Xenopus tropicalis: one gene and its partners. The protein of the gene in region 1 interacts with the protein of each later gene in a biochemical or structural test. Links are inferred from orthologs where the notes say so. Each region holds a gene or a part of one and is shown in the gene's direction. Other genes may lie near its edges. The genes, in order: nup62, nutf2, kpnb1 and ogt.

Region 1 (7,795 bases):
CTAATCTGCTAGCTATATAGTTTATTTTTTGTCATACTTGTGATCCTTTGTGTTTCTTTTAATCTGATTCCTGCTTATGCCAAGGGCCTCAGTGCATAGCTTTGTATTCAGTAAAGTGAGATGCATATCTCTTATTAGTGAGTTCGACTACAGCAGGCACGGGTTTTGGAATGAAGATTTTGCCAAGCAGTGCTGCACCAACAGGAACATTGCCTACCAGCAGTAAGTATAAAGTGGGAAGTTTAGCATAGCAATAATTTCTGTAGTTCTGTGTTAAACACTTTTTTCACGGGATCATAATGTAATTTTAAGTTTACTCTTATATGAGTGAACAACAGAGCCTTGAGAACAGATGTTTTTGGTGATTGTAATGCAGGGTTTTGCAATATTGCAATTTTCTGCCTTACTATGCTCTTTTCCACCTTATTGTAATTGTGTGTAAATAATGGAAATTGTGCACTATTACATCCTTTTTCCTTGCTTTGCACTTTCTTGCCCTACAATACACTGTTTTGCCATATTGAGCATTTTGAGCAATAATTAAGATAAGCAGTGTGGGTCATGTGTATTGTATACGCAGTATACTGAGGAAGCGCACTGGCACAATACTCATTAGGAGCTCAGTGACCATGGAGCACTGTGGTACCTCTCTCCTTTGCATGAAGTTATGGTTGTTTTATGTGCAAAATAAAAGTTTGCATGTGTGATACTGCCTATGTTTGTAGGCACTTGTTCGCAATAAATTATTAGACTGATCAGCCGAATAAACCAAATCTTTAGTCCAATGCTATGGCTTTTCTTTAGGAAAATAGATTATAGTATAGTTGAAGTCTTTCTTCATGCATAAAATAGTTGCTGGTTCTCATCTAGAGACTTCTGTCCTTATTTTCAGCAGCCTCTCTTGGTATGAGAACTCCACTTTCTGGAACCACAGTTCAGGCTAATGTTGTCAGTTCTGCTGCAGCTGCAGGAGTCGGGTAAGAGGTGTCACAAATGATACCATTATCAGCATAGCAGTCATTAATTTTATTTCTCTGGTTGACTGATATTTTGATTTGTGTTTTTCCACATAATGGTTTGTCTTTTTAGTACTGCTGCAACAATGACTTATGCTCAGCTAGAAAATCTGATTAATAAGTGGAGTTTGGAATTGGAAGATCAAGAAAAACACTTTCTGCAACAAGCAACTCAGGTCAACGCATGGGACAGAACTCTTATGCAGAATGGAGAACGGGTGAGAAATCTGAGAAAAAAACACTTGTGTGGCTTAGTGTAAACAGTTTTTGTGTGTGTGCAATAATGTTTTCACAGGCAGAATTTATTTTTATTTATTTTTTTGTCTGATTTCAGATCACCACTTTACACAGAGAAATGGAAAAAGTTAAACTGGACCAGAAAAGGTATGAGTAGGAAGTAAAACGGCAAAAACATAGAAAATTTGACCAAGATGAATGATGTTTGGTTGATTGATTGAATATATGTAAGAAAGGCACACCTGAGCTGAAAATCAAATGTTTTAAATGTACAATATTGCATAAACCTATTAAATAATAGTTGGTTCTATTTTTAATGTTCTCATTTATAGAAATAGATTGAGTTTTTCATAGCAAAAAAAAAAAAGTAGGAAATATAAAACATGAGTAGTTGGGAATCACAATCCATGCAATTCAAAGTGAAAAGGGGACAGGGGGTGGGATGTTAGGAAAGGAGAGGGAGGATCAGTAACAACACTTGCATCAATGCTGGAGCCCTGTCAATCTTTGAACGCATATGCAAACTTGGTGTAACTAGATAGGGGACTTCTGGTGCCTCATCTTAAGAAGCAGTGCTGAAAGTTTGGGTTTTGTAAAGATAAAAATCCCAAAGTTGTAGTGGGCAAAAGTAGTTTCCTGTTCCTTCCACGTGGCAGTGGGTACCAAAGGTTTAATCTCCCCTGCCATGAAGAAGGTACAGGAAATTAAAACATATTAAAAGTACTTCCCCTTTCCAATGCACCTATTTATTTTTTCCTATCAAGACACCCTTTAAATACCAGCAGAGTAGCTCTCCTCTTGCTGAAGCTCCTGGGGCTGATTCATCTAAAAAGATTTATGCCTTTGCTGATCAAGATGTCCATCATTGGGTATTGGTATTGTCCTTAGTCAGTTGACATGGTTGCATAGGGAAGGGGAAGTCCTTTTTATATGTTGTCATTTTCTGTATATTTCATAGTAACATAGTAAGTTAGATTGAAAAAAAGATGTATGTCCATCACGTTCAATCATCTTCCTCACAGCAGGCACAAGAACAAGTATGTGAACAGATTGAAAAAGCAATGTTTAAAGTAATGTAAAATCCACAAACAAAAACAATTCAATAGAAAGTAAAATCTTGTTTTTGCTGTGTGTATTTTCATTTTCTGTCTGGCTGTGTAGAAATATATGGTGATTAAACAGGTACACCTGCATGCTAAGCTTGCTCTTTGGAAGCTATTGGGTCTGTTTCACCCTCTCTACTCTTCTATCAGGTTGGATCAGGAACTGGACTTCATCTTGTCACAGCAAAAAGAACTGGAGGACCTTCTGACTCCTCTGGAGGAATCTGTGAAAGAGCAGAGCGGAACCATTTACCTCCAGCATGCAGATGAAGAGAGAGAGAAAACGTGAGCCAGTATTATAATGTAATAACTAAGAAGTATAAGATACAAGGAGATCTGGGTTTGTGATTATACTCAAGTAGGCTTTGGTTATGAGAAAGGGAAGGCATGGTTAGGGCCAAATAATTGTGAATATCTTCCTGAAATAAGAATAATACATATTCAGAATGTTTCCCTCAAGAATAAAAATTGCATATCATTCATGTTACCCTTTACTACTCACTCCATGCAGGGTTGTGTCATTGAGTTGGTTATTTATAAATACACTTTGGTCTAATATATTGTTTAAGCAAAGGAAGGACACCCCAATTTATTTCACCTAACTGTCGGTTCTGCATGAAATCATATATATATATATATATATGAACCTGGAGTGTGCTGCCAACGTTTAAATCCTCTGCATGAAGAAAGGCTGCTCAGAGGGGGATAGTGAAGTGTAGCTTAATCATTTTAAAACAAGTTCTCGGTTCTGAAATAATGTTTGTGTATGTGATGTGCCTTAGGTAAGACCTTTTTGATGAAATTATGCTTTTACATTCCTGTTATATACTCGAGGAAGGGATAGGAAGTTCTGAAAAAAATGAATATTAACCGAAAAATAATGGTTTGCATAATGAAATAAAAAAAATAATTGTATGTAACTTTCCAGTACAGGTATGGGATCTGTTATCCGGAAACCCATAAGCCAGAAAGCTCTGAATTACAGGAACGCCATCTGTTACCAACATTATTAGCAAATCTAATTTTTAAAATTGATTTTCTTTTTCTCTGTAATAATAAAACAGTACCTTGTATTTGATCCCAACTTAGATATAATTAATTGGAGGCAAAGCAATCCTAATGGTTTTAATGTTTAAATAATTTTTAAATAGACTTAAGGTATGGAGATGCCTTATCCGGAAAGCCCTAGGTCCCAAGCATTTTAGATAATGGGTACCATACCTGTATAACCTGTATAAATTCTTTAAATTCACTTGCAGCATAAATCAGAACACTAGCTGTAAATTAACTCTGTATTCTTTAGATTTTGTTCACTTTTTCTATAGGTATTTTTTTTTTATGCTGTGCAGTCACAGAATTCACATCATCAGTACTGATGTTCTGTGAAACTAGATATATTTAGTGTGTTTTCTGTTTTTTATTCTTTTTCTTTTTGTCAAGCTTTAGCAAGCAGGTACATTTTTACATTGCTGCACACATTTTGCTATCTTTGGGTTTATGTAACCTGTAGAGTAATCCTGAAATTACGAAACATTTGGTGTGTTTTCAGGTACAAGCTGGCAGAAAACATTGATGCCCAGCTGAAGCGCATGGCCCAGGATCTAAAGGAGGTTATAGAGCATCTGAACACATCAGCTGGGCCAGGGGATGCTGGAAACCCGGTTAGTACTCTTTCTTCTCTGGAAGAGATTTCATGTTTCTTATTTATCTCTTATTACATTTTCTTGGATCATACTTTATCACTCTAATCAAAGGGGTCCTCAAACTTCTTAAGCAAGGGGCCAGTTCATGGTCCCTCAGACTGTTGATCGGCCAGACCACCACCCCCCGACAAACTATGGCCGACTCCTGCATTCTCTCCCCTGCCAGGGGTGAGGACACAGTGGTGGCCGGGTAAATTAACCTGGGGGTCAGGATCCGGCCCGCGGGTCATAGTTTGAGAATCCCTGCTCTAATGCTTCTATCTTTTTACAGTGGTTACTCACATCTTTGCCAATTACTAACTCTGCATTGCTGGCTGCTTTTACTTTATAACTGTCAGGCCTCTCTTAGCATTATCACCTTTTAACTTTTGGAGTGTTCATTTGTATTTGTATTTCTTCAGCTCCAGCAGATATGCAAGATTCTCAATGCCCACATGGACTCTTTACAGTGGATTGATCAGAACAGTGGTGAGTTGAAGAATGAGGCTTTGCGCAAAGTTTGTATTGGAAACTAGCATACCATAAAATAATAGCATTTTTGTTTATTTTAAATCGGATCTGTTCTGTGCAGAATAGTAATGATGCTGTTCTGGGTCAAAGCTGAAAATGCTGTGTGGAAACTGTTCTTCATAGATTGCTCAGGAAAGAAAGGCTGTAGCTTTCTTTTATATTGAATAGCGCTATGCTTTACACTATTTATCAAAAAGTAAAAGGAAGTAGAAGGACTACATCTGGCATTTAATAGAACACTTTGTTCTTTGAAACATGTAGTTTATTGGCTTGCTTTTATGCAATTTTGTGTGTGGGTATCCGTGCACAGCTTGTTTACAGTTGTACTTGAGGTGCATGGAATACTTGTTTGCTCTTGTGGAGAAATCTTTGTCACCCCTTGGGTCGCCTGCCATTGAAGTGAATTGCAGTCACCTATAACCAAGCATGGATTTTGTTTCATAGTTTTAATAAACAGGTATAAATAAGGAAGGACAATATTTATAGTTAAAATGGTCTGGACACTGAAGGTGGCAGCTTGTCGTCCCATTATCCCAGACGATAATCAGCCAGATCTTGATAGCATTGGTGCATTGATGTGGTCCTTATCCCTATGGCCCATATCATGTCAGTGTCATCCAATCGTTTGATCCTTGGGCCAGATGATCAAGGTGATTAAAGTGAGCTTATCAGCGAAAGATCCACTCATTTTGTGATCTTAAAGCATATGGGCAACTAAAAAAAAAAAAAGTAAATGGACCTTTGCATGAGCCACTTGCATTTCACAGACGGTACGGTGTTGGCCTAAGAATTTCACGACAGGCACAGCATGGCCCACAGAATTTCACTATTGGTGCAGTTAGTGCTGGGCGGTATGACCAAAAATTTATATCACGGTATTTTTTTTATTATATCGGTATCACGGTATTTGACGGTATTTTTTTTTCCCCATGCATGATTACGTGACCACCCCAAACACCCCCCCCCCAACCCCAAACACCCCCCCATCCAACCCCCCATCCAACCCCAAACACCCCCCCATCCCCTTCACATAAATAAACCTTACGGACCAGGCAGCCGCAGGCACCCCCGACAGCTCACAGAGCCTCCTGGCAATTTTTCTTACTATTTCCGGGTTGCGCGCGTGACGTCAGCGTGCGCGTGACGTCAGCGCGCACGTAACGTCAGCGCGCACAACCCGGAAATAGTAAGAAAAATTGCCAGGAGGCGCCCACACCGGTATGCCGGTAAGTTAAAATTTTTTATCATCTTTTTTAAAAAAACCGGTGTTCGGTATATACCGGTATACCGCCCAGCACTAGGTGCAGTGTGTCATGACAGGCACAATGTGACTCACCCAGCAATTCATAATAAGAACTTGTAGTCCAAAGCATTACCTTACAGTGCAAAGCAGGTTACATTTGGTAAATAATGTGTCTGCCAGCAAAGAAATTTTGAAAAAGAGTGTGAAACAACAGCAAGTCACTCAGCCATGCCATTACTAGCTTTTTCTACAGGGACTGCAGCAATAGCAGAATGTTGAGTAACCTAATGTTTAAATACTATACAGATAGCGCAGGCACTTGTGTATAGGAGAGAGAGGTTGTCTGGGTGTAGTTCAAGCATAGACTTTCATCAGGAAAAAGGAGCCCACACAACTCATGGCTTAATCGGTTCTCAATGTAACTCTTTATTGTGGAGACTGTGGGCTGAAGAGTTAGTCTCCCCAAGAAAGAATTGCGCTAAGAATTGATTAAACCCTGAGTCTTGCAGGATCCTTTTTTTTTTTATATAAAAAAAATCTGGAATTCATGTTTGTTGGGCAGCTTCTCTGTTACAGGAGGGGGAGAAGTAACAGGAAGGAAAGGTGTGAATTTTCATAAAAAGGGATTCAGTTATTAGAAATGTGAATACACTAATCAATCGCAAGGACCCTACATGCTGAACTGTCTGTTGTTTGCCTGGTGCTTGGGTTCAGAGGGGCTGGGGAAAAACAGTGAAAAACAAAGTGAAAAACAATGTTAAAGGAACAGTAACACCAAAAAATTCAAGTGTATAAATAAATTCTAATATAATGTACTGTTGCCCTGCACTGGTACAACTGGTGTGTTTGCCTCAGAAACACTACTATGGTTTATATAACAAATGCCGCTGTGTAGCCATGGGGGCAGCCATTCAAAGGAGAAAAGGCACAGGCACTTAGCAGATAACAGAAAAAAACACTATTGTATTCTACAGAGCTTATCCGTTATCTGCTATGTAACCTGTGCCTTTTTTTCCTGCTTGAATGGCTGCCCCTGGGGCTACACAGCAGCTTATTTATATAAACTATAGTAGAGTTACTGTAGCAAACACACAACTTTTACCAGTGCAGGGCAACAGTACATTATATTTAATTTCCTTTAAAACTGTTTAATTTTTTGGTGTTACTGTTCCTTTAATCCTTGGGCTGGTCCAATTAGCTTCTCAGAGGAGGGAATACTTTTCCCTTCTGAGGAGGCTTCAGATGGGGTTTTTCACTGTCTTTTTGGAGTAGCTAGCAGAGTTCGCATGAAAAAAATAGGTTGAACTTGATGGATGTGTTTTTTTTGCACCTTAAATTACTAGGTTACTAGGAAAGCAGTGGGAGTGGTAGGCTTGGTAACCTGCACGCCAAACACTGGCTTTTTTGCAAAGCTAAAATTGAACGGATAAGAAACATTTGAATGTTGGGCTATCGCCAATTGAAATTGATCATTGGCAGAAAGTTGGCTACAGTGCTTATTGATACCCAGTTTTCTTGCTCAATAGGAGGTTTGGCTTAGTTAGCAATTTAATCATTGTTAGTGTGAGTTTTAAAGAACAAAACCTGTTCTGTCCAGAGCAAATAACTTCAACAAAATATCACATTCCCTTGTATAACAACCAATTAAATGCACTTTTATTTCAGGTACAGGTATGGGATTCCTTATTCAGAAACCTATTATCCAAAAAGTCCGAATTACGGAAAGGCCATCGCCCATAGACTCCATTAAAAGCAAATAATCCTTATTTTTAAAACTGATTTCCTTTTTCTCTGTAATAATAAAACAGAACCTTGTACTTGATCCCAACTAAGATATAATTACCCCTTATTGGGGGCAGAACAGCCCTATTGGGTTTATTTCATGGTTAAATGATTCCCTTTTCTCTGTAATAATAAAACAGTACCTGTACTTGATCCCAACTAAGATATAATTACCCCTTATTGGGGGCAGAACAGCCCTAT
Region 2 (8,247 bases), on another chromosome or scaffold:
ATCTGTTATCTGCTATGTAACCTGTGCCTTTTCTCCTTTTTTCCAGCTTGAATGGCTGCCCCCGTGGCTACACAGCAGGTTATTATATAAATTATAATAGTGTTACTGTAGCAAACACACCAGTTTTACCAGTGCAGGGCAACAGTGCATTATATTTTTATTACTTTAAAGCTCTTTTATTTTTTGGTGTTACTGTTCCTTTAATAGTGAGCACCGGGCGTTGAAGTTTTTTGGAGAGCCTGGGTGTGCGGGAACGATCTCTTTTGTGTACTAAGGGTGAAGAGACACAGAGCTACTTACTAGCAGCTATTTGTTGTGGCTACTAAACGCCAGAAAATACCCTGCCACAGACAACACTGAGAATTGCCTCTGTTAAAACACATGTAGAGACAATTATCAACAAATGATCAACACTGTCTTTTTTAGTAGCCACAAAAAGTAGCTGCTACTAGTAGCTCCGTGTGTCTTTACCCTAAGGTGGCAGTGGCACACGGGGTGATTAGTCGCCCGCGATAAATATTAACTACCGCGGGCGACTAATCTTCCCAACATGCCATCCCACCGGCAATAATGTAAATCGCCGGTGGGATGGCATACATTTCGCTTCGATTTCCCAAATTCGCCCGAGGTTTCCTTGCGGGGCAACTTCGGCCAACTGAAGCAATGCGAATGCCATCCCACCGGCGATATACACTCTTGACAGTGGCATGGCATTTCAGGGAGATTAGTCGGCCTTGGTTATTAAGATTTATCGCGGGTGACCAATCTCTGGGCCCCAAAAGCCAATCGTATACCCATTTTGATTTGTAGTCCTCAGATACATTTTTTGAGTTTATTTTATTTAAAAGCAGTCAACTCCTGTTTGTATTTATCCACTACAGTCTTAAATTTGTCCAGCCAATCAGTCGTATTATCAGCCTTTAGGAACTCTAGGTATTGTACCTCCAGTTGCCCAATCTCACCTCTAACTCCAGTTCTTGCCCACTTGTTCCAAAACTAGGGGGCACATTCATGAAAACGCGAGTTCGAATCCTGAATGGGATAACTTCGGATTGGATCCAAAAATTTCTGAAGATCACCAATATCACGAATATGTTTACGAAAAAATCGTATTAGTCACGAAAATATCGTGTTGGCGATCTGAAAATCACAAAATTTTTGTTTTGAATGATCGTAAAATGCAGGAAAACCTTTCCGACTTTGATCCTTCTGTGCATGATTTTGAAAGCCTCCCATAGGAATCAATGGCACTCTGCAGCTCCAACCTTGTCCAAGGAAAGTCACGATAACGAAGCTTGAATGAATCCGAAACTTTCGTACTCGGCGTGACAATACGATTTTGTCGTGCAAATTTTTTTGCAAAGTACGAAAAAGTCATGAAAAATACAAAAAAGTCGCACAAGGTACGAAACTGTTGCAATAAATACAAAATAAATATGAAAAAAACATGTTCAGATGCATTCGGAGCGTTCGTGGGGATATTGGTGATTCTAAATCCCCAAGGCATAAGCCTCTGCCTATGGTAATTAGAAAGGAAAATACCATGTAATTGTAAATCAAGTTCTCTCTTTTTAAATTTCAGCTTATCAATCAGTTTATGATACTCATCAATTATGGGATTACTCACGGCCAAAGGAGTCTCTGTAAATAGAATCCTATCTGCATTTATGGTAGAAAAGCCAAAATCCTGATGTGTCCACGTCAATAGTAAATTGTGATGCACTGTCCTCCATACTCCAGTCGCTGTATCTACACACCCTTTTTCCTCACCATCTGCTGGCCCAGTTGCTGAATACCAAGTATCCTCAGCACTCCAGTTGATAAGCCACCAAGTTCCATTAACAAACTCTCATTATCATGACAATGAAGACTCAAAACTAAAGCTGCTAGGCCACCCCAGTCCTGGTGTACCATAAATGCTGAGTGCAATCTCAGGATAGCCCAGTGGTCCCCAACCAGTGGCTTGTAAGCAACATGTTGCTCCCCAACCCCTTGAATGTTGCTCCCAGTGGTCTGAAAGCAGGTTCTTAATTTTTAATTCCTGGCCTGGACTTTAGTTGTAGTTGCATAAAAATAAGGTGTACTGAGAAACAGAACCTCCTGTAGGCTGCCAGACCACATAGGGGCTACCAAATAACCAAGCACATCCCATATTTGGTACCCCCAGGTACGTTTTTCATGCATGCACTGCTCCCCAACTCTTTTTATATTTGATAGTAGGTCACAGGTAAAAAAGGTTGGGCACCCCTGGTCTAGCCTAATACACAGAGGAAAAGAAAAGCACACCTAGGGGCAGATTTATTAAAGTACGATTTTCGTATTGTTAAAAAGTACGATTGGAACTACGAAAATTTCTGATGTGCGATACGATTTTGTTGCACAAATTGACGCAAAGCACGAAAAAGTTGCGTAATTTAACGAAAATATTGTGGAAATTATGTATAGTATTTTTCCCATTCTGACCCATGCGTACTTTGATACATGTGCCCCCTAAAGTCAATTCTAATACCTGGGTGCCAGTGCAAGAATTAAAATATAATAAGTCCGAGTGATGGCACTCCACAGGAATATACACAGAGGATAAATCAAGCAAATATAAGGTTTATTTAATCCAATGTTTTGGTTCCACACAGAAACCTTAATCAGGGAAACCAATATATATGGCTGGGCATATCGGTTTGCTTGAATGTCTTGAACCAAAACTACAACATATAAATAAATGCTTATTTATTTTTCATAACTTTTCTTAAGGTCTCCTTGCTTACACACTGGACTTGCATGTATAAAGGTAGGACGTGGGCTGCCTATAATACATACCTACATCTAACTCTGTATATGGATTTATGTGTATGATAGGCAGATAGATTAATACACAGTTGTGAGGTATTATTTGAGCAGTGGGTCCATTCAATTAATTAATTCTAATATAAATGCTAATCAAGATCTCTAAAGGGCTAATTACCACAGTCCGATACTGTAAATACCTAAAGAATGTGTAACACTTGTTTGGGTCCCTACAAATGCATATACTTTACTGCACAGATAAAAAATGTTCACATTAATACAATTACCGATTAACACTGCAGGTTGGTATATCATACCTACTACAGCAACATGAAACATAACACGTTATACTCATAAATAAGGCGATTCTAGAACTTCTGACGTTCCCAGGTAAAACTACATTTCCCAGCAGCCGCGGAGTTCCGGTCCCGCCCATTGTAGGAGGGGCTTGTCACGCGGGAGGGCGGTGGCGGCGGGAGTTGTTGGAAGCTTGGGGACAGTACAGTGTAGAACACAGCATTTGGTGTGGGGTGAGTTTTTAATCTCCATATATGTTTTAGGGGGCATTTTAGTTTGATAGCGTTTAGCGCTGTGCATGAGTGTTTTTTAGTATCTGACCTTATTTGACGCAAAGGGCCGTATAAACTTGGCATGACTGAGATGTGGGCCTGGACTGGGGTGGGTGGTGGCCTAAGGCTTGCACTTATACATTTTGCCTACTAGTTTCGTGCACAGAGTATGATTTGGCATTTGCTATTTGTACCAGTCAGTAAAACAGTAAACTGAATTACTTGGTGCTTAATATCGGTTATAAATCTTTCTATACCCCTTATATATGGGCCTGCTCTCCCACCCTCGTTTTTCAAGTACTGGCATAACAAGCGCAACATAACTTACATATAGATAACTGAGTATGTATATCTGATATGTATATACGTGTGTATGCGTAGTTATAGATATACATTCATATTATACATATATAATAAGCAGGATAATTGGGGAGGATCCCCACCCACCCACTGTGGAATGAGAATACTCAGCACTTTCACTGTTCAGTTATATTTATAGCACTTTGACTGCATTTGCCATGTGACTCGTCTATATGAAAGTTAAAGGGGAAGCTCAAGTAAACTTTAGTATGTTATAGACATATTCTTATGAAGTTTTAAAATGGTCATCATTTATAGCTTTTCATGGTTTTCTGACTAATAGTTTGTCTATTCTGTTTATTTCTGGCCTAGAACTGAACATACTTGTTTTTTAAAGTTTTTGGACAACAAGCAACCAGAACTAGACTGTAGGGCATCTATTGGGGGGCCTTTTACATTACATGGGCTTCTATTTCTATTTGGTCCCTCTGCTATTTATCTTCCATTCCAACTTTCCGTCTGGTGCCATTTTGCAAGGCAATTAAACCCTATGAATGAGACAGTAGTTAAAATGATAATCTGGACAAAAAATGTAAAAAAAAATTAAGAATTTTACAAATTTTTAGAATTTAATGGTCTACTTTTATACTAGAAGTTCATTTTAAAGGGGCAGTATACACCTATGTAGACAATTTTTCCCCATGTGAGCAAAATAGGCATGGCCATCTCCCACAGAGTATATTTTAAAGGAGAAGGAAAGTCTCAGTCACTTGTGGGGTGCCAAAATGTTAGGCATCCCCCAGTATTGTATTCACTCACCTGATTCCCCAGGCAGGTTCTCCTGTTAGCAGAAAACTGCAGTGGCCTGAGGCATGTGCGTAGAGTGAAAGAACTATCAAAGTTTGGCTTTTCACTCTACTGCGCATGCACAAGTGTCACCAAGAAAGGACAGGTCTCACTCTCTGGTACCTTGGGCTGGTGCAGTTTTTGGCTAATGGGAGCACCAACAGATCACAGGAGACTAATCTTTTAGTGTGCCATCAGCCTAAGTTCTACTGGTCCAGTAATATACAGCCAGTTTGGCAACCTTGCTCATAACATTTTGTAGTAATTTTTGTTGTAGGACACCACAATATTTGATATAATCTCTTTCTTTATTTTGCTTGGTTCTATCAACCCAGTGTCTTGATAGCTGGAGTGTAATTCATAAAATGCAGTCTAATCTCTATTGTACATACCCACATCTTGAGTTTTTGCACATTTTATCTTTGTGGTCCTACCACCTTAAAATATATTTAAATTGCTACATTTCTTAGTTTTTACACATTTTCCCCACTTATTACCACAAAATTTTGTTTACCTAAAAAGGCCTTTGTCCTCTGTAAATGTTTTAGTTGATTTGGAATTCAGTATTTACAGGATTAGGATTTTAGCTAACTTGCATCTTCTATGACTATTAACAAATCAGTTATTGTATTAGGTTGTGCCTCTGACGTTCAGAGTGGTTTTGGAAATGCAGTTCCACAGAGTCAAATTAATGCTGCACTGTGTAAACACCTTAACATTACCACAGTAAAGTATTGTTTCAAAGAAAAAAATGACTCCTGTGAATATATCTCTTGAATAATTGAGGCTTGTGTTGCTTGAACACATTTCCATTACTTTTACATGTTATTTTGGATTTTACAACATTTTTTATGGTCCACAGAAAAAATAAAAATAGTGATCTACGTTTTTTTCTTTAAAATCTGTCCTTTTAATAAATATTTGTATATGACTGTAGGTGTTAAGATTGTTAAATGACTTCTATCTTGCAAAAATAAAAAGTTTAGTCTACTGGAAATGTGGGCTAATAAAGCCTGAACTCTAGTTTGGGAAAACAAAAGTATTGCAAGCACAAGGCACCCACACCAGGAGGGGCTTCTGGTATGGACAACCATGTTTGATGTACATCAATGTACATAATAATTTAGTGCCCCAGCAATGTGTGTGTTGAGGGATTAGGGCACATACCCGCATACATCCACATAATGAGCGAGTTGGAGCCTTTTCTTATGTGGAAATATGTGCACCAACTGTGTATCACTTATTAAATTCCCCAACATCTCCTGACAGGCCTAATTAGAGTTAGCTGTCTAAAGGTGGCCATACACAGCTCGATAAAAGCTGCCAACGGGGTTAGCATCTTATTGGCTTGTTTATTGCCCGCCTTGGGAAAGATCCACTTGTTTGTTGACCCCGCCAAACGAGCAGATCTGTCATTGTTTAAGAGCCCTGAAGTGTGTAGTCTGCTGCAAAACAGGCTGTACTGCTACAAAATAAAAGCCATATTTCTTGCTGTTGAAATAAATATTTTGCAGGGACCTGCTATATCTCCATACAGCTAAACCTTACTAATAGGCAATGGATACCTTTGCTACATTGAATAATAACATAATTGATAAAATAAGAAAAATTAAGAAACCAGAGGTTAAAACACAAAGTTCAGTGTAAAAATGAAGCTGGGTAAAACAGACTGCACAAAATAAAAAATATTTCTAATATAATTAACTGTAATCTATAAAGGCTGGAGTGAGCAGATGTCTAATGTAAGACATCTGGTCACTCCAGCCTTTATAGATAACATTTTTGCCTAACTATATTAAAAACACTTTTTATTTTGCGCAGTCTATCTATTTTACCTAGTTTAATTTTTACACCAAACTGTTCTTTTAAAACACTACAACTAAGGGCAAAGAACATGGGTAAGAAATCACTGATTATTGGGCAGAGACTTGACTAGCAGAGTTCCCGAGAGAATTGGTGTAATAGGTACCCATTATACAGAAAGTTTTGAATTACGGAATGTCTGTCTCCCATAGACTCCATTTTAATCAAATAATTCAGATTTTTAAAATTGATTTCCCTTTTCCCTGTATAATAAAACAGTACCTTGTACTTGATCCCAACTAAGGTATAATTAATCCTTACTGGCGCCAAAACAATCTGGAATAACCTTGAGTCCTATACCTGTACACTGAGGTCTGTTCCCCAAAACAGAACTTCAGAACTCATGGCCAGGATCCATTTTGGATCCTCATCCCCAACAAGACATATAATTAAACAAATAAAACAACTTTGGGGAACCATTATTTCTTATTTTGCTTGTTTCTCTGACAAAATGCAAAGTAAGGCCATGTACTCTAAAAATGTCTCCAAAGCATTAGTTTATAGAACCAGTGTTTACAGATAAGGAGGAAACAATTTAAGTGAACAGTAACTCCCTTTTTTAACATTAATTTAATCAATAGGGCTTGGTGCTTAACAAACAATTTGCCTGTTTTGCCATTTTGGGCCAATCACTGTTCCATATAGCTGCTGATAACTTAGGATCTGCTTCTCTCCACCTGATTAAAAACCGCAGGCGTAGGGAAGTGTTTGATATGCAATGTGTGCCCTTGCCCTTAAGGTGGACATATATGGGCCGATTCTAGCATCCAATAACGTTCCTGTAGACCATTTCGGAAACTTATCGGCCCGTGTATGTACACCAACAATGGGCCTGCCCGACCAACATCTGGCCTGAAATCGGCCAGATCTCGATTGGGTAGGTTTTATTGTAGGTGGGGATATTGGGAGGTCGTCAAGCGAGCGGATCTTAGCGTGTATGGCCACCTTTAAGGCTGCTCTCAGCCTGCATTTTTTTAGGCAGGCAGAAAGAAGCGAATCCGCTTACTTTCCCAGCTTCGTGTATCTGCGCTGACAAGTACAGCTGCCGTCTGAGTGCAGGTATGTCGAGCAGAGATCGGACTAAAAAATGCAACGGCAGGCCTTTTCGTGCCAATCTCAGCTCAATACCTGCACTCAAGCAGAAGCTGTACTTGTCAGTGCAGATACACAAAGCTGTGGAAGTGGGAGCTAACACTCTGTGTGCCTTTGACCTTAGAGTTCTTGAATCTAGATCGGTTAGAATTGTCAACAGTATTTAAAGATCTGGGCTTGTGTTGTTAGACTCATAAACTCATATTTATATGTTCAGCTACCTTTTTAGTTTTGTTTGTGTTAAATCAGTCAAATCCTATTTTTCTCTGTCTATGACAGAGGACAAGGAAAGTGTAAAATACAGATGCGTTGCCAACCGTAGTGACTAAATCACTGACCTTAAATCCTAGGCCTGTACTGAAAAATTCACTGGACCACTGTATCCCTATTAAACATACTTCTAAGTTGAACTGTGAACTAACAAGCCATCACCCCCAATAACATCTTCTATTTATTTGCCAGTAGTTCTAAACTAGAGCCAAAAGTGTAAGGTCCAGGGTGTTCTCAAATGCTCTGTACACTTAATTGTATGGCATCATCATTCTGATTTATTTCAGCCCTTGAACATTCTGTATCAGAAATAATCACCCGCTACATGTAATATGTTGGAAATCACTGTTCTTGCATATCTCCGGCATATCAAACCAAAAAACACAAAGGCTAATGGGAATTTAATTAACTAACTCCCACACTCTTAATTTAGCAAATATTTACTAAAAGTATTCTTGAATCTGTCAGAGCAACAGTTTAGGCAAGTTTTATTGTCTTCTGACTGAAGTGGTACAAACCGGAT
Region 3 (7,795 bases), on another chromosome or scaffold:
AGACACTCACAAAACAGGTAACCAGAATGTGTTGCGACTAATATTGATTCCTTACTTTGTAACTAAAATGAAAATACATCGTTTTGTCTGGTTTTTGAGCTTGTCCATTTTTTTTTTTTTTGTTTTTTTTAGGATGAAAATGATGATGACGATGACTGGAACCCTTGTAAGGCTGCTGGAGTGTGTCTTATGCTTTTAGCAACCTGCTGTGAGGATGACATTGTCCCTCACGTGCTGCCATTTATCAAGGAGCACATTAAAAATCCAGACTGGCGTTACAGAGATGCAGCAGTCATGGCGTTTGGCTGCATTCTGGAAGGGCCAGAGTCATGTCAGCTGAAGCCTCTTGTTATTCAGGTAATTCAGACTTCTTCCCAGCCAGTTACAAAAATGTTTTTTTTCTGTCTAAGGATGACCAGTTCATGCACCACACAGAATAACTCTGTGTTGATTATGACTCTCTGAAGACATTGTGACAAAATAACTGAATACTGTAAAATTTTATATATTATTATTATTATTATGGTTCTTTTGGGGGAAAAAGCAGACAATCTCCCCCCACAATAAGTGTATATTTAAAGGAACCTGTTGAGTAATAAGTCAAATGATCCTTTCAATTTAATGATTAGTTACACTTTACCAATATTCACACTAAATGTAGTTACCGATTATTTAGTGTATACATGATTACCACCAAAGTAATAGTATGGAGGTCAGCTTCATTCTTCCCATCATGGCTTCCCTCTGTCCTTCAGCACCTCTGGTCTGCATTCCTCACATCTTGTCACAGGCTCCTCTGTCTCCTTACAAGCTGCTTCCCCCCCCCACTACTGTCTAATGCACACTTTTTTCAGCAACAGCTAACATCCCAACTGCTCAGATGGGGAATGATAAAAAAAAATTGCCCATTGTTCAAAGGTATTGCATACAGTAATGAGATTTTTGATAACTGTAACCCACAAACATTTAGACTACCAGTCACAGGAATCCATTTGATATGGAAAACTGACTTGGGTGTGAGCGGTATTGAGTGTAAGCTTCCTGGACAACTGGTTCTCTACTAAGCTTACATTACCCATATACTCTGTGTAAAACAATAGATATGAATACATACAAATTGATATATATTAACTGCATACCAGATGTTAATATTTGATTATATATTGGGGCATTAGCAAATATTTGTACACATTTATTATATATTTATGCATACACACATTATATAATGTGTGCCTCTATAATAAATGTCTGATTCATCCTACATTGGAGAGAAGTAATATTCTTTTAGTGTGTTGGCTAAGCTTAAAGCAAACAACCGCTGACTGATGTAGCTCCACTTTTCCATTCAGTTCTTCAAGTTTGCATATCTCACTCAGGGTTTTGAAACCTGTAGTAATTACACAGCTTATACTGTTTTATAAATCCAATTGTTAAATCTAAAGTTTAAGTTTTCCACTGAGTTGGCATTGGCTTTTTTTCAAGCGAATGGTCTTCAGGTTGGGGAGGTGTAAAACTTGGCTGATTTGTTTTCAACAGGCAATGCCTACACTGATTGAGCTAATGAAGGACCCCAGTGTAGTTGTGAGAGACACTACGGCCTGGACAGTGGGGCGAATATGTGAGCTGTTACCTGAAGCAGCCATCAATGATGTATATTTGGCACCTCTTCTTCAGTGCCTCATTGAAGGTCTTGGAGCAGAACCTAGGGTGGCATCAAATGTCTGCTGGGTAAGACCAAAGTGTTGCTATGTGCTTGTTTAAGCATGTGTGGAAATATTAATGCTGTGTAATAATAGATGTTTGAATTGAGAGAATTTGAATTTTTGCTCTTTCAGGCTTTCTCCAGTTTAGCTGAGGCTGCTTATGAAGCCGCTGATGTAACTGATGACCAGGAGGAGCCATCTTCATACTGCCTGTCCTCTTCGTTTGAAGTGATTGTACAGAAACTGCTTGAGACGACAGACAGGTGAGGTGTAGCTCTATTATGTGCCTTAAATTCTTAATTGTGCTGATTTGAAAAATGCAGGCCCTCTGATATTATGAATGAAGCTATATAGTGTTTACAAGTCCTTTACACCACACTCCCTTACAGTATAGGATGTACTTGCGGTTGTCTAAGGATGATAAGTTCATGCACCACGCAGAACCAGCTGTGTTGATTATGACTCTCTGAAGGCACCAAAAAAGCTCAGCATATTTATATGTAACCAAAATCTTAGATCCTGTCCGATGTAGTGGCCCTAAAGTGATGAGGCTAATGGATTTCATTTTAAGTTGTAACAGCATATTAATCAGTCTTTAAATTGCAGGCCTGATGGACATCAAAACAACCTGCGAAGTGCTGCCTATGAAGCTCTAATGGAGATAGTTAAGAACAGTGCCAAGGACTGCTACCCCGCAGTACAGAAAACCACCCTAGTAATAATGGAGAGGCTACAGCAAGTACTTCAGATGGAGGTAGGAGTTGAAAGCATCTGCTGCGTGAGACTAGTTTGTGTTTTGTAGCCAGTAGAGCTCTTATATATTCCACCCTCCTTTTCTTTCCACAGTCCCACATACAGAGCACTTCGGATAGAATCCAGTTCAATGACTTGCAGTCCCTGCTATGTGCTACCCTTCAGGTAAGGACTGTTATAATGTAAGAATTCGAAAGTTACTGGGTGGTTTAAATATTCATAACTAACTTTACATTTCTCAACCTCTTGACAAAGTGTATTACAAATACAGGTTTTGGATCCCTTTTATCTAGAAACCTCTGAATTTGAAAAGTCCATTTCCCATGGAGTCCATTTTATAGGACAAGGCAACTCAAAATATAATTTTTTGCCTAATAAAAGAAACCAAAACTCTAAGCAGCTTTGCAATATACATTTATTACAAGTTTGTAATGGTTTTTGGGTTATTTGTATTTATAATTGCTATTAGAAGCAGTGTTTGCCTGTCCTTTTCTATTCTCTGCCCTGGGGGCTCAGACTGTTGAAACATTGTAACACAAGGCAGCAGACTGACAGATCTGTATTGCTGGAGAAGCAAGACCTTTGCAACATTGTTTAAAATGTAACAACCAGGAGCTCAGCAAATGCTGCTTTCAATAGCAATTACATTTACAAATAACGTTTAAAAGCGCTACAAATATTTAATTATTTCATATTGGAAAGTTGCTTAGAATTATGTTTTCTTTCATTATGCAAAACATTATTTTTGGGGTTGACATGCCCCAAATCTAATTTCTAAATTATTTTTTTTCTGGAGTAATAAAACAGCACTTTGTGCTTAATCCTAACTGAGCTGCGTCAATCCATATTGGTGTCAATGCAATCCTATTGGGTTTATGTAATGTTTAAATGTTTTTTTTTTTTTTTTAGCAGGCTTAAGGAATGGGTTATCCAATATATAATATTCCTTATCTGGAAAGCCGATCCCAAGCATTCAAGATCATAGATTTTTCCTATACCTGTATAATTATTGAAGGCTGCAACCTTTTAGTACATGCCTGGGACAAGACGACTTTAGGTCTCCAGTATTTTCACAGCGAATATAAAATTTAAAGAAACATTAACATCAAAAAATGAAAAAATTTGAAAATGAATTCAAATATAGGGTGTCTATTTCCTGTACTGGTAGTTGTACGTTTGCTTAAACACTTCTATAGATTATATGAATAAGCTGATTTATAGCCATGGGGCAGCTATTCAAGCTGAAATAGGGCTAAATGGCACAGGCTACATAGCAGATAAGCTCTGTATGATACAATAGATTTAGGCCTTGTGCAGAAATATAAACCCACTTTTGCAGGTTGAATATCTTCCCCTATGGCTGCACAGCAGTATTTTCATACTGGTAAAAAGCCAGTTTTACCAGTGCAGGGAAACCGTATGTTATATTTTAATACTTTTAAACACTTTGATATATTTTTTTGGTGTTACTGTTTCTTTAAGGGGAGTATGTTATCTGCACTGTTATGTTCCCTGGCGGCTTCATTTGACAACTTGAAACCCACACTGAAATGCAAGCTGCCTGCAGTACTGCAGCAAGATCTTACATGGTGACTCAGTCTAAGTGGAACTGTCGATCCTTGTGAGCACAAATCAAGCCCTGATTTTAAAAGGTGTTGCTATCATGCAACCTCTATTGCTCCCAGCCCCTACCTGTATAAATCCCACAGCGTTTTACAGAGTGAAGACCCTGACTAGTTTTAAATGGGCCCACAAACACCATAAACTGCAATACGCTTATCCAAAGACTCCTATAAATCCTGAAAGACTCCCATATCCTAATAAATTATGAGGAAATATGGAAGCAAACTGAACATTTTTGTGCAGTAAACTGCAGTCATTGCGCTGGTATCATAAAGTACAAGGAAAGGTACAATCACTTACCAGGTATCCCAGGCCGGTGCTCATTAGTAGAAAACTGCAACAGTCCAGTGTACACATTTTGGTAACCCCCAATGATTGTACTTTTCCTTTATACAAATTACCTTGAATATATGGTACAACACTAAAACCAGTATACGGTATTTACAGTTTCTTAACACACCCCATTTCCCACTTGGATGCATAACCCCTCCAGGTTTGACCATTTGGCTTGTACACTAAACTTTAATGGAGTTGTGGTAAGGAAACAAACTATCCTACATATTTGGTGGTCATATTATCTATGTGCAAAATATAGGGGTGCTTCTGTCACACATTGTGCACTGTATGTGCAGTTGTTATAATACCTTCTGGAACTTTTGACAATACAAAGACTTTACAATATAGAGCAGTTGTCTTGAAAATAATAATTGCGCAAAGAAACGAGACTAATCAGCAGTTTGTTCATGTTGTCTGTGAAGCTCTGGGCAGTGGCTCATCGTGAACATGAAGTTCCAACAATGTAACATGAAATTATTGATTTCATTATGGTGGCTACTGCCATGTCTCAGCCCTTGAATATGAACTTCCCCTACCTGTGTTAAGCAAGTGCTTTCCGGCAAGCAAGAAAATGCATCCATGTGGCAAGAGAAACCTCTTATACTTGTTTTTATGTATCAGAATTGTTTTTATACTTTCTTAATCTGTATATCCTATTATGGTTTTCTCTAGAATGTGCTGAGGAAGGTGCAACACCAGGATGCCCTACAGATATCTGATGTTGTGATGGCCTCATTGCTCCGCATGTTCCAGAGCACTGCAGGTTCTGGGGGAGTACAGGAAGATGCCCTCATGGCAGTCAGCACCCTAGTGGAAGGTAATGGTGCCTGATGTGGTTGCAGTACAACCTATGTGTAAGATTGATGTTTGCAAAGTTTGGCACAAATAGAAATCAATATGAATGCAGTGGTTGTCACAAAGTAAAGTGTAGTCGTAATTGCATACTATTACAAACCACTGTTTCATTTATTGCCCTGGTTTTGTCCTATAGTTACATAGGGTTGAAAAGACGACCAGAGTCCATCAAGTTCAACCCTTCCAAGTAAACCCAGCACCCACAAACCTATACAGACCTATATCTATACACTCGCATACATAAACTATATATATACCAACAACAATACTAACTGTGGAGTTTATGTTGGTATAAATCTCATTACTGATGCCAACAGTGGCTAGTGGAGAATGTCATCTTGAACAATTATGTCACATAGATGCCATAATGACATGTTACTTATTTTTCATTAAGTATGGGGTTTGCATTCCTGTTTTATAGTGCTTGGAGCAGAATTCCTCAAGTACATGGAAGCATTTAAACCATTCCTTGGCATTGGACTTAAAAATTATGCAGAGTATCAGGTAAGATGACATTCCTGTTTGCCAAACTCTCCCACCTTGGCCCGCACTGGCAGGTTGTAGATTCTGGAAAATGCTAAGCCAATTTTTAATCTATTAGGACTCCCCCATGTGATTGTAATCTAAATGGAGATTAAATGGCATATTAAATACCCCAGTCGTTTTGCAGTGTTCTTAGTGTACAAAAAAGCCCTAGAAACGTCTAGTTGCTGGAGAGTCTCTGGATGACAAGTTCATGCACCACACAGAAATGTTCTGTTGATTATGAATTTCTGAAGACTTCTTCCAGACTGTAGGAAGTTTTAGAGTTCCCTTTTGTTTATTTGCATTTCTGCCACATAGCGTAGAAAGTAGCACGTTTGCCTGCGTTTGTGTAAGAATAGGCTTCTGTAAACCCTGTTGTTTTTCCCAGGTGTGTCTAGCTGCAGTAGGACTTGTTGGTGACCTGTGCCGTGCTCTACAATCCAATATCTTGCCATTCTGTGACGAAATGATGCAGCTTCTGCTAGAGAACTTAGGGGTAAGTATTTGGTGAAAGAGGAATTGTGTACAGCAATTGCAGTTCTTTTTATTATGGACGTGTAAGCCTAGGAAAGATACCACCATGCCTTACTTGTGTAGTCTGGTTATGGTTATTTTGCATCTTGGAGAATAGCAAGCTATTTCATGCTGTAGAATGCTTAATAGATTGTTTCCTGTTATATTACCAGAATGAAAATGTTCACCGCTCAGTGAAGCCTCAGATCCTTTCTGTATTTGGAGACGTTGCCCTGGCCATTGGAGGGGAGTTCAAAAAATACCTAGATGTTGTGCTTAATACACTGCAGCAAGCATCACAAGCTCAGGTAGACAAGGTAAGCAGCAGCATTGTTCCACGAAAGGGCCTTACCAGCAGGAATTATTTCCACAATCTAGAGCAGCAAGACAAGCAGCGGCTATATGTAACATATTCCTGAGCTGCCTTGTTGGTTGAATAATCTAGGGAACAGAGTTGAGACTTTTCCTCCCTGTATTTTTGGCTTCCTCCACACCATAACTTTTTAAAACTGTGTCTGTTATGGGTTCGAGGAGTGACTCTCCCCAACCCTCTGTGTCTCTTCCCCTGCAGTCAGATTACGATATGGTGGATTATCTAAATGAGCTTCGAGAGGGCTGCTTAGAAGCATATACAGGAATAATCCAGGGGCTCAAGGGAGACCAAGAAAATGTCCACCGTAAGTATTTCCTAGCAGACTCTTGTCTACTGTCAAGTCATCATCCGAGGAGTTGAACTGAAAATTTTAATTATAAAAGGTGAATATATTATTGCCTGCCATTGTCCAGATTGTGACATTCATGTTAGCTAAGGATCACTGGCCCAATGTTGGGCATAAAAAGAAAGTTATGGTCATTTTGTTTTTGTCAAGGGTTATGCAGGGGCACAGCTTTGTATGTTCTTGTGCTGTGTATGGCATAAGAGGTCATGGTAACCTCTCTTGCAGCCGATGTGATGTTGGTGCAGCCCCGTGTAGAATTTATCCTGTCATTTATCGATCACATCGCGGGTGACGAGGATCATACAGATAGTGTGGTGGCCTGTGGAGCTGGTCTTATAGGGTAAGTGGCGATCTATTTACTACTTGCATGCACATAGAGGTCATTGTATTAAATGGTGCTTCACCCCATTGGTTTATAGGATGCTTTGGAATGAGTTACCATTTTTCCTTAAATTGACCATAACACAGGCAGGTCACCCTTTGACAAGGTTACCAGATCTTTTTTTAAAAGCATCTGCATTAATATTTCCATCAACTGACCTGTACGCCAGACTTTCATTCTTGCCATTTCTTTAGTAGAATGCTTTGAAACACAAGCTGTACAATTCTTTGAACGTTAGAATTGGTCTTGAACAGTGATCCCCAACCAGTGGCTCGGGGGTAACATGTTGCTCACCAACCCCTTGGATGTTGCTCTCAGTGCCCCCAAACCCAGGGAGTTATTTTTGAATTCCTGACTTGATGGCAAGTTTTGGTTGAATAAAAACA
Region 4 (7,795 bases), about 5.4 Mb from region 1:
TTAAGGTGATGTTTGGGATGCAGGGAGAGTAGTTCTGCAACAACTAGACCTCTGAAGGTTGCATGTTGCTGGCTTGGATTACCTACCCATAGAAGCAGTGTTTAGCCCATATCCTTAGACGTTTATAACAGTAATTCTACTAACAGCAACAATGGGCTTTCTGCCAAACAGCCTAATCGTTGTTATACATTCATTTATGAGATATTTATTATCCCATTATAACATAAAATACACTTGTACTATAGCAGGCTGCATAGTTCAATAGTCTCTAAATACTGAGTTGCCATACATTATAGGCTATAGATAGATTTGTATGTATAGACACCTGGCAGGGAAGACTGGGTTAAGGAACAGTAACACCTAAAAATGAACGTGTTTTAAACTAATAAATAATGTACTATTGCCATGCACTGCTAACACTGGCCTGGTTGGTTTAAAAACCCTACTATAGTTTATATAAATACCCTGCTGTATAGCCATGGGGGCAGCCATTCAAGCTGGAAAAAAGGAGAAAGGGCACAGGTTACATAGCAGATAACAGATATGCTCTGTAGAATACAATGGTGTTTTATCTGTTATATGCTATGTGCCTGTGCCTTTCCATTTCTTTTTCCAGCTTGAACTGCTGCCCCCATGGCTACACAGCAACATAACTATAGAAATTATAATAGGGTTTCTTAAGCAAACATACAACTTTTACCAGTGCAGGGCAACAGTACATTATGTTTTTATTACTTTGATACATTTTCATTTCTTAGCGTTAAGGTTTCTTTAAGGCTTTGTATGTGAAAAGGTGGCCAGGTTAATGGAACAGTTAGGCACACTTCTTGGATAGTAAGATTTCTTTCACTGTTGCTATGACAGAGGGAACATGTTTGCCCCAAAACCTTGCGTGACATGGCGAGATGTGAATTGGGCACACTGAGAAAAAAGTGATGCCATTGATAATGCAAGTGTGACCTCTGTGAGAGAATATGGTGGGGGCACGGGACATGATAGTGAGAGAAAAGATGTATCATGCTGTTGATTATATTTGTATGTCCCTGTAGTTGCGTATGACCTGCCAGGATAAGTATTGGGACCACTGGGGCTGTGACAGTAAGAGGAAAAAGACAATATATTCTGGATAACACGTTTATTCTTATAGTTGTTTCTGTTCTGACAGTATGAGTATTGGATCACTGGAGGTTTGGCAGTAAGAGGAAAAATACATCATGCCATTGGTAACACTTGTATGTCCCTGTAGTTGCGTATGACCTTCCAAGATGAGTATGGGAACCATTGGGCTGTGACAGTAAGAGGCAATAGACATTGTCATTGATAAAGCAATATGTGTCTTCATGTAACCTGGCAAGATGAGTATTGGGGGGCACTGGAGCTATGGCAGTGCTGAAACATACGTCATACTAGGAATACATTGTGTCCCCATAACTGTGTGTCACTACTAGGGTGAGTATTGGGGGCTCTGGTGTTATGGCAGTAAGAGAAAATACACATTATGCCATTGATTACGTGTATGTGTAGAGCTGGGCGGTATGACCAAAAATTTATATGACGGTATTTTTTTTTTTTTTTCCATGCATGATTAGGTGTTACCCCATTTCCTAATAAATTAGAGAATAATTACTGCAGTATTGAAAATCAGAGTCAGGCAAGCGAAGGATCGGCAACAGAAAGTCGTAAGGTAAATCAGGCAGGCTTAGTTTCCCAGGCAAGGCCGCAGACAACATAGCACAGGAGGAGGCGTTTGATAGCTTTAAATACCCCCCACGCATGCGCAGAACCGGCGCCATCAGCGCCTTGCGGACGTGCACGCTTTGACATGTACGTGCGCGCTTTGACATGTACGTGCGCTTTGACGCACGCGCACCGTCCCGCGGACAACGGGACGCGCGCGAGACCGGGAAGCACGGGTGTTTACCCTGACACCCCGGTATTGCGGTATCTGAAAAATGAATATAGTTTAAAAAAAAAAAAAAACAACCGGTATTCGGTATTAAACGGTATATCGCCCAGCCCTATGTATGTGTTCTTTTATCTGCATGCGACATGGCAGGGTGTGTGTTGTGCTCACTGGAGATTTGGCAGTAAAGAGAAAAACATCATATAGGGATAACAATGTTCCTGTAGTTGTGTATACTGGGGGCACTGGAGCTACAATAGCGAGGAAACATATTGCACTAGGAATAACAAATTGGTGCCCTTTTAACAGTTGTATGAGTTGGGTTTTTTTGTTGTGATTATGTTATTTGTTCAATTTTAACTTCTGCTTTCACCACCAGGAACATCATGAAAAGTTGAAGTAATATAATGTTTTTCTCAGAATGACATGTGCTTGCAGTGTGTTTTCATAGTAATGCTGTTAGTTCTTTGTATCTCGGCTAGTGATTCAGTATGGGATGTATTCACTCACGCTTATGACTCCAGAGGGATACTGTTAACATTTACTGCAGCGCCAAGCATGCATTAACTCTATGCATTTAAAGTCAGGTGAACCTGGGGAACCCTAAATTCACTCTTTGATAAACATATCCTTTACCCTTGCACTGCAATCGTTGCATTAAAAATTTATGGCACATTTATTCCTTTAAAGCGGTTATAAACCAAAGCATAGAATTTTCCCAAAGGAATATATAATTCTAAGCAACTTTACAATATAAATACAATACGTTACATGCTTTAAATGATTGTCAAAGCTTTTTGTAGATGTTGTTGCTAATAAAAGCAGTGTCTCTAAACTTTGATTTTCTCTACACTGTTGGTTTTGACTATTGAAATAATGTAATGCAGGGATTGGCAGAGTGGCATTGGAGAGGTGTATGAGCCTGGCAGCAGTATTCATTATGGACTGGAGAGGGGACAGTCTTTGGAGGGGAAGGCCAATTAATAGGGAGTTACAGTAGTCCAGGCGAGAGATTATAAGAGTGAATAAGAATTTTGGCAGAATCTTGGGTGATAAATTATCATATTTTGGAAATATTTCTTAGGTAAAAGTGACATGATTTGATAAGTGACTGGATATGAGGCGTGAAGGACAGGGCAGAATCAAGGATAACCCCAAGGCACTGGGTCTGGGAAGATGGAATGATTGTAGAATTGTTAACCGTTATAGATACCTCGGGAACAATTTTGGCGTTGGATGGGGGAAAGAGAACCAATTCAGTCTTAGAGAGGTTTAATTTAAGGTAACGTTTGAACATCCAAGTGGAGACAGCGGACAGGCAGGAAGAGACGCGAGTTAGAAGCTCTGGGTTGAGATTAGGAGAGGAAAGATAGATCTGAGTATCATCAGCATAGAGGTGGTACTGAAAGCCAAAAAAATTGATTCATTTGCCAAGTGAGGAGGTATAGAGAAAATAGTAAGGGGCCCAGAACAGAGCCTTGAGGAACCCCAACAGAAAGAGGCAAGGGAGAAGACGATGCTCCATTATAAGGGCCACTGAAGTTCAGAAAGGCACAGACAATACTGCTTTTAATTGCAATTTTAATGTGCTTTAAAATTTCTGTATTCTTGGAAGGCTGCTTAGAATTAAAATATTCTTTTATTAGGCAGATGGTATTTTTGGGTTTATATCTTCAAGAAGATATAATTTTTAACTGGTGAGTGTATTCTTTCTTGTTCCCGGCGCATTTAGAATAAATGATTCTTGGACAAAGGTTGTGTCTGCCATGATTGACACAGCTTCTTGCAGTAGTCACCCTAACCTGCCCTAGCCCAACATAACCCAACCTGGGCTGGGGCGTCACAATTATTTATATACCCAAGACTAATCTGCCCACCCATTAGCAGCAGAGTGGTATATGCCCACAGGGGGGTTGCTCTTGCCAGAAATTGTATTGTTTTCCCCTCACGGAGTGCAAGGCCTGTTGACGCACAGCTTTGGCAGGGGAAATTTATTTAGGTGCCCCAGCATGTACTCCCTGTGTACACTGTCACTCTTCCTGGTAAGTTTGCTTCTGGTTATTCATGATGGCTGTTAGATGGTTTTTCTCAGCTGGTTATAGTTTAAGGCCTAAAAGATGTTCATATTTTGTACCTGAGACTTTCCAGTGGTACTTTGCATTTTTCGGGGATTGATTTCCTGCAGGTATATGGACGTTTGCCAAAGCTTCAATTGTTTGTCAGCAGGCTTTAAATTTGACCCAAGTGCTTTATCTTAGTTTTGAGCTACATTAAAACATAATGGCTGCAGTGCTCTGAACTAACGCCACAAATAACATTTCCGCGTAGAATTTGTTACTTTGTAAAACAGGTATTTGTATTTGTCAAGTTTGATCTAGGGACAAACCAGATTCATACTTTTATAATTCTGGGGAACACTGAATCTTCCACAAAAGATTTGGCCGAATACTGAACTGAATCCAAAACCTAATGTGCATATTCAGACTAAAGAAGGGTAAAAAGTCTATTGTGAATACACGTGTAATATATAAGTAATAAGTGAATGCTAGCAAGGCATGGGTTATTGGCTTGGTTGTCCAAAATGGGGGCAGGATTTATGTTGACAGGTTTTATATTATCTCTGGTTATATATGATATGCCATTAAAGGAGACATATCCTATAAAAATTAAGAATGTACCAGAGAATTATACTCCTCCTAGATATAGAAGGAATGTGCTTAAAGTATTTCAGACTGATTTATTGAGAAATTCCACTAGTCCCACCCATCAGTTCCACTTCCTGCTGGCTGAATTCTCTGGATGAGCTGGGGAGCCGGCGGCCCTCCGTACACTGCACTATAAGATAGGAACCAATCAGCAGCTAGGCTGACCTGATAGGGAACTGAAGCCTGTCTTTGCTTGTGGGCGTGCAGGGCTGTGATTGGCTATCCTCCTCCTACTGTGCTTCTGGCAGGGACTGTTAGGACACGCCCACTCTCCATTTCAAACTCGGAGGGAGAAGAGATAGGATCTATAGGGAGCTCCAATAAAGGGGCCATTTTTACAGATAGGATTAATGTTTAGCACAAAGTGAAACCAGCACCTTTATATTATTCATAATTGCCTACAAAATTAGGGTTTCCCCATTTATCCAATATGTCCCGTTTAAGATGTGATTGGAAAATACTTTCACTGCTTGAAATAAAGGACAAAGAAAGTAAAATAAAGTGTGTGCAGAACTGTAGAGTATTAAGTGTGTATTGTATGCTTTGTGTCTTTCGGGGATCTGATACCTTGCCGTTATCCTTCACATTTTGTAATTTCTTGAATTTGTTCTCTTTTCACAATATTTTATTCTTTGAAACAATGCAACCTGGTATGTGATACCTTGCTTTTATCCTGTACATTTCATTATTTCCTGGATGTTATTTTTTCACAATATTTATTCTTTGAAATAATGCCAACCCACAAAGAAGTTTGCAAACTACAGACTATAGGTAATGTGAGCCTTTCTCTGTATGCAACATGATTTCATGCTCATACAAAAAATTTTTTGGGAAGTTTTTCATCTTTTTTTTTTTTTTTCTTTTTTTTTTTTTTTATCATTCACATTTTTTCTGTTCTTTTTATTTCCATTTTCTAATTTTTTTCCCCCCCTAAATGTTTTGATGATTCTCTAGAACCAACGAAACGTATGCTTTCCTTCCAAGGGTTAGCGGAGTTGGCTCATCGAGAGTACCAGGCTGGAGACTTTGAAGCAGCTGAAAGACACTGCATGCAGCTCTGGAGACAGGAACCTGATAATACTGGAGTTTTGTTGTTGCTGTCATCTATACATTTCCAGTGCCGTAGGCTTGACAGGTAAGAAACCCTTTTTGTGAATGTAATTCTATTCAGATATTGCCAGCCTGACACAATTTGTGTTATTCCTCATGAAAGGTTTAGCTATATTCTTAACCAAATCCTCAAATGAATGACAGAAACTGTTTAACGGCCTCGGCATTAAATCATATCCAATTATTTGTTGTTTTAACTCTGTGCAAGTAGTTTTGTACTTCCTTAAGTTAATATTATTGTAGTTACTTTTCCACCCAGAATGTAATAACAAATGGTACTAGGTTCTATAGTATTTGAGCTGAGACCCTTCTATATACAACATAGTTAGTTCTCACTCATTTTTGCCGTGATACCGAGGGCTGGATTGATAATGGAAGCCAGTTTTGACCACTACCCAACACATAATCACACACTTTAGGGACCATACAAGGACTATTTCCAAATGCGAACAAACTCCCAGAACAAAACCCTGCAGACAGGGACAGGCATAGAATGGCACACACTGGCAGCATAGGGTGGCAGAGAATGGCACACACGGGCAGCATAGGGTAGGCAGAGTATGGGGCACACGGGCAGCATGGGGTAGGGAGAGTATGGCACACACAGGCAGCATAGGGCAGGCAGAGTATGGCACACATAGGCAGCATAGGGCAGGAAGAGTATGGTACACACAGGCAGCGTAGGGCAGGCAGAGTATGGCACACGCAGGCAGAGTTTAGCAAACAGGCAGCATAGGTTAGGCACAGTATGGCGCACACAAGCAGCATAGGGCAGGCAGTATGCCACATACAGGAAGGGTATGGCAGGCAGAGTATGGCACACACAGGCCGTACATACAGTGACACAAGGCTGGCACGGCTCCTACAGTCTGCGGTGTAAGCAATGTGGGCGTGTACAGTCTTTGCCTGAGCTGTGAACAATGGAGGAACTAAAAGATGTAAACAACACAGGGTTTAAAGTTGTTTACAGCCTGAATCTGAGGTGTGAACAATGCAGGGGGCAATTCATCTCAGTACTGTTGCCATTTAAAGCTTACACATAGCTAAGCAATTACAGCATCCAGACAGGGGGGCACATGGGGGGGGGGGGGCTGCGTGCCGCCAGTTGGACAGCCCCGAGGTTCAGCTTGCTTTATGTTTAAAATTAGGTAATACAACAAAATATGATTTAAAGTAAGTTTTGGTACTTTTTTTTTTAATAGGTCTGCCCATTTCAGCACGTTGGCTATTAAGCAGAACCCCCTTCTTGCAGAAGCCTATTCGAACTTGGGCAATGTTTATAAAGAGCGAGGACAACTTCAGGAAGCTATTGAACATTATCGGCATGCTCTGAGGCTAAAACCAGACTTCATTGATGGATATATTAATCTTGCTGCGGCTTTGGTAGCAGCTGGTGATATGGAGGGCGCAGTACAAGCTTATGTGTCTGCTCTTCAGTACAACCCTGTAAGTTATTCTTTGTATGTTTAAATGGACAGTACCACTTATAAATGAATTCTTGAAAGTCCACATACAAATGGGATCCTAGGACAGCATGGAATTGTATGACAAGCTACAGCAGCCTTATGTCATTCAGTTGAAACCCACCCCTATGTTGCTCCAATACCTATTCCAATGTGGTGAATTCTGTTTTTTTTTTTTTTTGTGTGGGGGCAAGGGTATATAGCAAATAGGGTATATAGTTGGTTCAGTGGGAAGAGATTAATCGAATGTGATAGTGTTGAAGTACCCTCAGACCCTATAAAGGGTTAGCCTAAGCAAACATTTGCTTCCAAACCTTAACATACTTTATGCTGCTTTTGTCCATTGTGAGTGTTAAATGTGTTTCTGTATTTTAATCCTATTTTTGTCTTTCTCTTTTACCTTTTCGACAGGACTTGTACTGTGTCCGTAGTGACCTGGGTAATCTTCTTAAAGCCCTAGGTCGCTTAGAAGAAGCTAAGGTAGGTTTTCAGTATATTGATAATCAATGTACATGCCAATTCCAGTGTTGCAAAACCTTTGCTTTGCCTTAAAGCTTTATAACTAGTGTATACAGTAACATGTTAATCAAATGGAGCTGTACATGAAACGCATG

Evidence for each region.
Region 2: the proteins of nup62 (region 1) and nutf2 form a complex in vitro, tested with the Homo sapiens proteins (3 studies listed by BioGRID). The link is inferred for Xenopus tropicalis from reciprocal best matches to the Homo sapiens genes NUP62 and NUTF2.
Region 3: the proteins of nup62 (region 1) and kpnb1 form a complex in vitro, tested with the Homo sapiens proteins (2 studies listed by BioGRID). The link is inferred for Xenopus tropicalis from reciprocal best matches to the Homo sapiens genes NUP62 and KPNB1.
Region 4: of the proteins of nup62 (region 1) and ogt, one has a biochemical effect on the other in vitro, tested with the Homo sapiens proteins (2 studies listed by BioGRID). The link is inferred for Xenopus tropicalis from reciprocal best matches to the Homo sapiens genes NUP62 and OGT.

What each region holds. Positions count from the first base shown.
Region 1 is NC_030684.2:38,699,579-38,707,373, forward strand, and holds part of nup62 (nucleoporin-62 C-terminal-like protein), read left to right. Parts: intron 1-138; coding exon 139-222; intron 223-892; coding exon 893-977; intron 978-1,089; coding exon 1,090-1,234; intron 1,235-1,350; coding exon 1,351-1,400; intron 1,401-2,506; coding exon 2,507-2,641; intron 2,642-3,905; coding exon 3,906-4,017; intron 4,018-4,460; coding exon 4,461-4,527; intron 4,528-7,795. UniProt on the Homo sapiens protein: Essential component of the nuclear pore complex. The N-terminal is probably involved in nucleocytoplasmic transport.
Region 2 is NC_030680.2:41,284,357-41,292,603, reverse strand, and holds the start of nutf2 (nuclear transport factor 2), read left to right. Parts: upstream 1-3,288; 5' UTR 3,289-3,314; intron 3,315-8,247. UniProt on the Homo sapiens protein: Mediates the import of GDP-bound RAN from the cytoplasm into the nucleus which is essential for the function of RAN in cargo receptor-mediated nucleocytoplasmic transport.
Region 3 is NC_030686.2:10,822,306-10,830,100, reverse strand, and holds part of kpnb1 (importin subunit beta-1), read left to right. Parts: coding exon 1-17; intron 18-132; coding exon 133-357; intron 358-1,536; coding exon 1,537-1,728; intron 1,729-1,835; coding exon 1,836-1,966; intron 1,967-2,309; coding exon 2,310-2,457; intron 2,458-2,549; coding exon 2,550-2,621; intron 2,622-5,087; coding exon 5,088-5,232; intron 5,233-5,691; coding exon 5,692-5,774; intron 5,775-6,183; coding exon 6,184-6,291; intron 6,292-6,481; coding exon 6,482-6,625; intron 6,626-6,839; coding exon of another isoform or gene 6,840-6,845; exon of another isoform or gene 6,846-6,860; intron 6,861-6,879; coding exon 6,880-6,985; intron 6,986-7,252; coding exon 7,253-7,367; intron 7,368-7,795.
Region 4 is NC_030684.2:44,079,866-44,087,660, reverse strand, and holds part of ogt (UDP-N-acetylglucosamine--peptide N-acetylglucosaminyltransferase 110 kDa subunit), read left to right. Parts: intron 1-5,562; coding exon of another isoform or gene 5,563-5,592; coding exon 5,593-5,743; intron 5,744-6,920; coding exon 6,921-7,164; intron 7,165-7,592; coding exon 7,593-7,661; intron 7,662-7,795. UniProt on the Homo sapiens protein: Catalyzes the transfer of a single N-acetylglucosamine from UDP-GlcNAc to a serine or threonine residue in cytoplasmic and nuclear proteins resulting in their modification with a beta-linked N-acetylglucosamine (O-GlcNAc).